Nothobranchius furzeri: one gene and its partner. The protein of the gene in region 1 purifies or fractionates together with the protein of each later gene. This does not show direct contact. Links are inferred from orthologs where the notes say so. Each region holds a gene or a part of one and is shown on either strand. Other genes may lie near its edges. The genes, in order: heatr3 and tmem186.

Evidence for each region.
Region 2: the proteins of heatr3 (region 1) and tmem186 purify together in Homo sapiens (co-immunoprecipitation; 3 studies listed by BioGRID and IntAct, counting the BioPlex papers as one, with this or other methods). This does not show direct contact. The link is inferred for Nothobranchius furzeri from reciprocal best matches to the Homo sapiens genes HEATR3 and TMEM186.

What each region holds. Positions count from the first base shown.
Region 1 is NC_091749.1:70,417,838-70,421,663, forward strand, and holds part of heatr3 (HEAT repeat-containing protein 3), read left to right. Parts: intron 1-2,559; coding exon 2,560-2,647; intron 2,648-2,931; coding exon 2,932-3,032; intron 3,033-3,826. UniProt on the Homo sapiens protein: Plays a role in ribosome biogenesis and in nuclear import of the 60S ribosomal protein L5/large ribosomal subunit protein uL18 (RPL5). Required for proper erythrocyte maturation.
Region 2 is NC_091744.1:5,453,062-5,456,432, reverse strand, and holds tmem186 (transmembrane protein 186), read left to right. Parts: upstream 1-1,354; 5' UTR 1,355-1,617; coding exon 1,618-1,620; intron 1,621-1,899; coding exon 1,900-2,565; 3' UTR 2,566-2,711; downstream 2,712-3,371. Other genes in the region: gde1 (glycerophosphodiester phosphodiesterase 1), read right to left, coding at 633-902. UniProt on the Homo sapiens protein: As part of the MCIA complex, required for efficient assembly of the mitochondrial complex I.

The DNA of each region.
Region 1 (3,826 bases):
TGCTCATTTTAAATAGATTTTTAAACATTTTCTAAATGCTTTTTTTTATTTTTACATTTTTTGTCTTTGTGAAGCGCCTCGTGATTTTCATCTTGAGAGGCGCTATAGAAATGATACTTTCTTCTTCTTCTTAACAGGCCATAATATAAGAGTTTGATCAAAAATAAGCCATTCATAATGGTTTGTTAACTGAAAGTAAACAGTTTGTTGTAGGGATGCACTGATACGATACTGGTATCGGTGCCGATACCAATACCAGTGTCGGTATCGGTAAAAGTTAACTGATATTTTACTTTTTTATCTACCTCACAGTCTTTTCCTGTTGAAAGCAGAGAAGAAAATAAAATCTGTATTCCAAATCATTGCATTGTTTGTGTGGCAGAAGTATCGGTATTGGTAATCGGTATCGGCGAGTTCTCAGATCCAAGTATCGGTATTGTATCGGTTTGGAAAAAAAGTGGTATTGTTGTATCCCTAGTTTGTTGCTGATAACTCACATGCTAATTAGCTCAAATCAATACGTGGCTGTTTAAGAAGTAATTCAAGGCAAATTATTATTCTGCATTAATAACCAAAAATATTATGTTCTGGTATGTAAATAAACACCAAACTCCACATGTTAATAGAGCCTAAACAACAAACAATTAACCACCTGTAAGCTAGAACATGTTCCCCCTTCTAAAGTCAGATGTTGTTCATACCTAATTACTAGTAGTTTAGTATTAATTAACCACCCAAAGGCAAGAATATGTTCCCCCTGAATTACTTCGTAAAAAGCCGCATATTGATTTGAGCTAATTAGCATGTGCGTTAATCAGCTACAAATCATTATGAATGGCTTATTATGATAAAACTCTTAATTTATGGCCTGTTAATGTTAAAATTACAGCATAAGCTCTTAATAAGTGCTTAATAATGACTAGTTCAGACTTAGTAGTCCACTAATATGCATATTAATTGGCAGCTAATTAATGGTTAATTTGTGTTCCCTAAACTAAGGTGTTACCAATGTTCTTATGCTGCACCTTCTGCACTGTAACTGCTCACGCTTAAACTTTGTCTTTTTTCTTTTTAATTTAAAAATCTAAATTGATTGGTGTGTAATATTTTAATTGTGCTGTCACTTTGATTTTAAAGTTCTTGCTAACTGGAAAGCACATTGAGTTGCCTCTGTGGATTAAATATGTGCTATAAATAAAGCTGCATTGTCTTTATTGTCTTTACTTGTTTAGTTTTTGTATTTAACATGAAATTATAAAGACTTTATGCAGGCTTGTGCACAGTACTGAGATTTGTACAGAATTTTTGGAAGTAGCCCAGAAGAGGGCGCCATTCTTCTGAAAGTCAGGCTATATCGTGATAAGTGTTTGGATTTAGAAGAAGAAGAAGAAAGTATCATTTCTATAGCGCCTCTCAAGATAAAAATCACGAGGCGCTTCACAAAAACAAAAAATGTAAAAGTATAAAAAAACATTTAGAAAATGTTAAAAAATATATTAAAATGAGCAAAAATAGGCAATTGTGATTAAAAAAATGTTAAGAAAGAGAGAGAGTGAATAGGAAAGAGGGAAATCAGTGGATCCTGAGGAAGGTGGAATAGGTGGGAGAGCAGAATAAAGAGAGAGAGGTGAAGAAGGTCATACAAAAGCCAGCTTGAACAAGTGAGTCTTCAGCTGCTTTTTAAAGGAGACCACTGAGTCCACTGATCTCAGGCTCAGGGGGAGAGAGGTCCAGAGTCTGGGGGCCACAGCAGCAAATGATTTGTCACCTTTGACCTTTAGCCTGGTGCTGCACAACCAGTAAGCTTTGATCACTGGACCTCAGGGACCTGCTGGGGGTGTAGGGACTAAGAAGATCACCAATGTAAGATGGTGCTTGTCCATGTAAGGCCCTATAGACCAGAACCAGGATCTTGAAATGAACCCTGAAGTTGACTGGCAGCCAGTGAAGCTGGAGGAGAAGCGGGGTGATGTGGGTGTGTTTGGAGGACTTGGTCAGAAGCCGAGCACAGGCGTTCTGAACCACCTGTAGACGGTTCAGGGAGGTTCTGCTCAGACACGTGAAAAGAGAGTTACAGTAGTCTAAGCGTGAGGAGATGAAGGTGTGGAGAACTGTCTCAAGTTCAGAGCGAGACAGAATGGGACTCAGCTTAGCAACGTTCCTGAGATGGAAGAAGGAAGAGCGAACAAGAGAACTGACATGAGAATCCAGGGTGAGAGCTGGGTCAAAGGTCACACGTAGATTCCTGACAGGGGGTTTGGTGTGAGAAGCAAGCTGACCAAGAGAGTCTCTGACTTTGGGAACCAGCTTGTCTGGGGCACAGATGATTAAATTAGAATTAAATTTAGATGATTAAAGCGACTCTTGCACCATATCGAGCTCTTTTACATCACTGATCATCTCCCAACCCTCTTCTCTCCCAGCACTCCTTCTAAACCTCCGTTTATACCACGGAAACGTTGCTCCTAGTGTTGGTTTCAGCTCCTCACAAACATGGCGAGTCTCCTCCATGCGACTGATGATGATGAGTGTGCGTCTGGGTCTGTTTCTCACTGGCAGGAATCTGAGTGCGTGTGGAGGTCAGGAGGTGTGCGAGGACATGGTGAAGCACGACGTGATGACTCCTCTGACAGCACTGCTTAGAGAGGTGAGACTCCGCCGCTGCTTTTAGCTCACTCCACCACTTCAGTTCCTCCTCATCAGCAGGCCGAAATATCTCCCGCAATTAGACGCCGCTCCAAGGCTTCACCCGCGGTGACTCGATGAAAAAGTGCTGCGTGCACGCTGGGGGAGAAATAGACTCGGTGTGAAATTCTAACTCGCCGCTGACCTTTTGTTAAGACCTGGCGGCATAAAAGATTTAAGTGTTTTTGTAGTGAAATCTGCCCTCTTTTCTTATAACGGACAACTGGAGATGCTTGTTTTTCTCAGTGTTGTGCTGGTTTCGACAACGCCGTTGTGACGATGACCGACCAGAACAATCCTGTGGAGAATGTGGCCCACGAAGCGGTGAACCTCCTCTGGAATCTGTGGTAAGGTCTGAAGGCCGCCAAGTCTTCACTTCCTTTAAGTAAAGATCAAACAGATCCCAAAGCAACCTAGAAAATCCGGGCAGTTCGTTTAGATTCCCGCTAGAATTAAAGCTAACACGATTGATCAAATGAAATTCTGGTGGGGTGGCATCATCAAATATAGTAGTAGATGTCTGTAAGTACTTATATTTGGACCTGTCTTGGTGCATAACCTTTATACAGAAATATCGTAGAGCGAGGGACACCAAACTGTGGCCTGCGGGCCATTTGTGGACCTCTGCTGCAGTGCAAGAATGCACAGGTGGTGTGCGTCAGCTTTGGCTTTAATATCTGGTAAACAGGGCCGTCGTTTGTTCCCTTTCTTTTTAGTGGGGCGACGGTGGCACTGGAGTTAGGTGCTCGCCCTGTAATCGGAAGGTTGCAGGTTCGAGCCCCGCTCAGTCTGTCGCTGTCGTTGTGTCCTTGGGCAAGAGACTTAACCCACATCGCCTGCTGGTGGTGGTCAGAGGGACCGGTGGCGCCTGTGCTCGGCAGCCTCGCCTCTGTCAGTGCGCCCCAGGGCAGCTGTGGCTACCTCGTAGCTCATCACCACCAGTGTGTGAATGTGTGTGTGAATGGGTGAATTCCTTGGGGGTTCCAGGAATCTAGAAGGCGCTATATCAAATACAGGCCATTTAACATTAGCGATGGATACCGAATTCGGTACTTTTTAAGGTACCGACCGAATTCCATAGTTCTGACTGAGCACTGATTCACGTCATTTGAAACGGCGCCTCGTTTCGGTACCCGTCCTT
Region 2 (3,371 bases), on another chromosome or scaffold:
CAAGTCACCGTGAGCCAAAAAAGTAGATGCATTAAAATATCACATTATAAACATTTTGACGTGTGTCGTACACACTTTGGTTTAGTTCATTTGAAAATAAGCACGTTTAGATTTCAATCTCCTTAAATGGTTAGATAGTGCAAATGTAACCTGGGAGAGCTGTATCACACTGTGTGTGTGTGTGTGAGTGTGTGTAAATTGTGTGGGTGCAGCACTGGGCCGATTGGGGGAAGCTCAAGTCATCGTCACTACCTTCATACATGTTGGTTTGGTGAAGACAATTCAACTTCCCCCTGGATTTGAACTGGTCTCCCTGCCCTGTTTTGTAGGCACAACCTGCACAGACCGAGCTTTTATTTGGACTTTTAGCTTTTGCAATCTTTAATAAATTATCTATTTTTGAAGCGATCCGATTCTGTGCTTCATTGCCCACATTAATGCTGGTTGGTCAGACTCACTTCATGTAACATCTTGGGGGCTGATCTGCGGGTGTTACACAAATGTGTATTAAAGTGGAGGTATTACATTTTTAATCAATGACTAACTAAATCTCGCCATTAGAAGAAACAGCCGCTCTAGGTCGTGTGAAGGTTAACGGTTTAACGTCTTCCCTCCCCAGTGTCCCTTCTCACCTCCCGTATGGCTGCTATTGTGTTCTCCGGTGCGTCGTGTCCTCCGCCCCGGTGAGCGATCACAGACACCTTACCGCTGCCCACTGCACGGGAGTCTGGATGCAACACCTGCCGGGCTCGGCTGGTCGTCACCTGCGGGAACCGAAACATGGCTAGAAAGAAGTAGAGGGAAGCGGTGAGGACAGCCGACCACACCGGACTCCGCGTCCCCAGCAGGACCACCACGAGGACAAGTGAGTAGAGGGTGACTTCATCTCCCAGCTGAAGCATTGTAGACGACTTCTTGGGTTCACGAGCGCAGATTTTCTTCAGTTTGACATTTTCTTTCCTGTTAAGCTATTTTTCTTGGTTAAAAACGCGATGTTTCACACACATCCATGCTCCGTGTTATATTCTGACAGCAGCTATTAAGTGGAGCATTAAACCACATCTAAGCCGGAGAAAGCTAGAAACTGCTAGGACGGTTGAGCCGCTGAACGACCAAACGGGAGGACAACATTTCAGGTGGCACGTCGTAACGGCTGTGACCGGATGTTACGTAAAACAGGCGCGACCTTTGTCAAAGTAAACCAATAAAACTAACTCGTTATTTCACGAATCACACATTCAATGACATTTATTCTTCTACACTAAAACAACTGTAAATCCCACTTTGCTGGAGAACATATCTCGGAGGCTTGAAATATATTTCATTAAGTGGGGAAAACATTTTTCGACGGACCGAAACACATCTCGGCGCATCCCCGGATGTGGTTCTAAATAGGTTCGCTACATGCCGTTTGCAGCTCTTATTCAGTGTGAACAATTTCATACATTTTTTAAATTAAAATGTATACTTTACTAATGTTTCTAATGTGAGGAGAGTAAACGAGATCTTTAGGAACACACGGTTGTAACATCCGGGTCACAAAGCTGGACGTCTTCATGCCAAAAGTGGACTTGGGACTATTTTTGACTTTACCTGTGAATTAACCAGTCGTTGGCCATGGTGAGCATCATAGTGAGACTATTAATATTACTGTTATTACAGTGTTATCAAATTCAAAGGAATTGGTGGATCAAATAGATCAAACAATCCTACCCGCGAAATGCCCTTGAGCTTGATTTGATTCAGCTAGGAGATTAATTTGACCTCATTCTGAATAAGGGTTAACAGTTTTAATGTAAAACAGATCGAGACTTTATTCTGCTGTTAATATTTGGCTCAATTAGGTGACTGCATATTGCCTGACTGAATGTCGTATTTAATGTTTTTTTTCCCCCACAGATCAGGTCGATGTTGCTGAGCAGATTAACCCACCACACCCTGTCCTGCACAAGAGGATCATGTTTACTCTCTGGACGAGTGTCTAATGGTTTACAGTCTCATTTTTCAGGTCATACACCCATCCATCAGACCTCCCATGGACCCCTCACTCCTAAAATCACAACCTCCGTCAGATACTCAGACCTATCCACGCAGAAATTCTCTATGATTTACACGCTGCCACACATTAAGCTTCTCAGAGTCGTGTCCAGGCTCAAACTGCTCCAAACTGCAATCACTGCGGTCATCATTCCACCCATGTATTTCCTTTACTTCCAGGGTGACGTGTCCTTCTTTCTAGTATGCTACTCTACGGGGATTGCACTGTTTGCTGGTGTCATGCTGTATACTATGAGTCACTTCTTTAGAAGGGTTGTGGGGATGATGTACCTGGATCCATCCCAGACCACACTCAAAGTTTCTCACCTCACTTTTTGGGGCAAGCGTCAAGACACCTACCTACCCGTGTCAGACGTTTTGACCATCTGGGACACAGGAGACATGGAGAATGAGACCATACTGAAACTGAAGAGATACAGTAGTCCAGAGACAATGTATTTTTCTACTTATTACGGACGCGTTGTTGACAAGCAGGGCTTTGAGAGAGTGTTTGGGAGGCTAAAATAATTCTTCATTCAAAATGTGATCAACTAAATCACTGCTTTCAAGTATTGTAATAAGATCCAACAAATATACAAAAATATCCTGTTTTGAAATAAATGATTCAATTTCAATGTTTTCATTTCTTGATTTAAATAAATGTGACTAATGAGTGTCTGACTCTAGCCTCTTTACCTGGCCAGGTGAGTCGGACAGGTAAATGTTTTGATGTGTTTAATATCTGATGGCTCTGCAGAGTGGATCTATTCCCTTTACTGTTGATCTTATTGGTCCATTAGAGGTCTGAATGTGGTCATAAAACCCCCCTGGAGTTTTAGAGGAATCCTGCAGTTGAGTTTTCTTCCAACCTGATCATCCTGCATGGAAATGTGACTATTGATAAATTTTATTTGGAAAATCTATAATTTTTTGGGTTTCTTAATAGAATTCTATATGTTACAGATAAAAAAACTAATATTGTGAAGCAGACTGATTATGGTCTCGTACACAAGTTATAAAAAATTTAAGTTGACAAATTACAAATATCAGAGACACTGCAGTGAGGCATTTTCAATTAAAACATTTTCAGCTATTTGTAACATACATCTTTAGACAAAAACATCTAATCAGTTCTTCCAATAAACATTCAAATAATTACAAGATAAAATCCATGCATTTGAGTTTCCTGTATAGGAAATTTTCTCCAAACTCATCAGAAACACTTTTCCATTGCAACTCAGTCAAAAAAATAAAGCAAAATTATGCTGCAGATTTAAAATGCACTGGTAATAAGCTTTTATCAAACACGAGGGTCAATTATTTCCTGTTTCTCA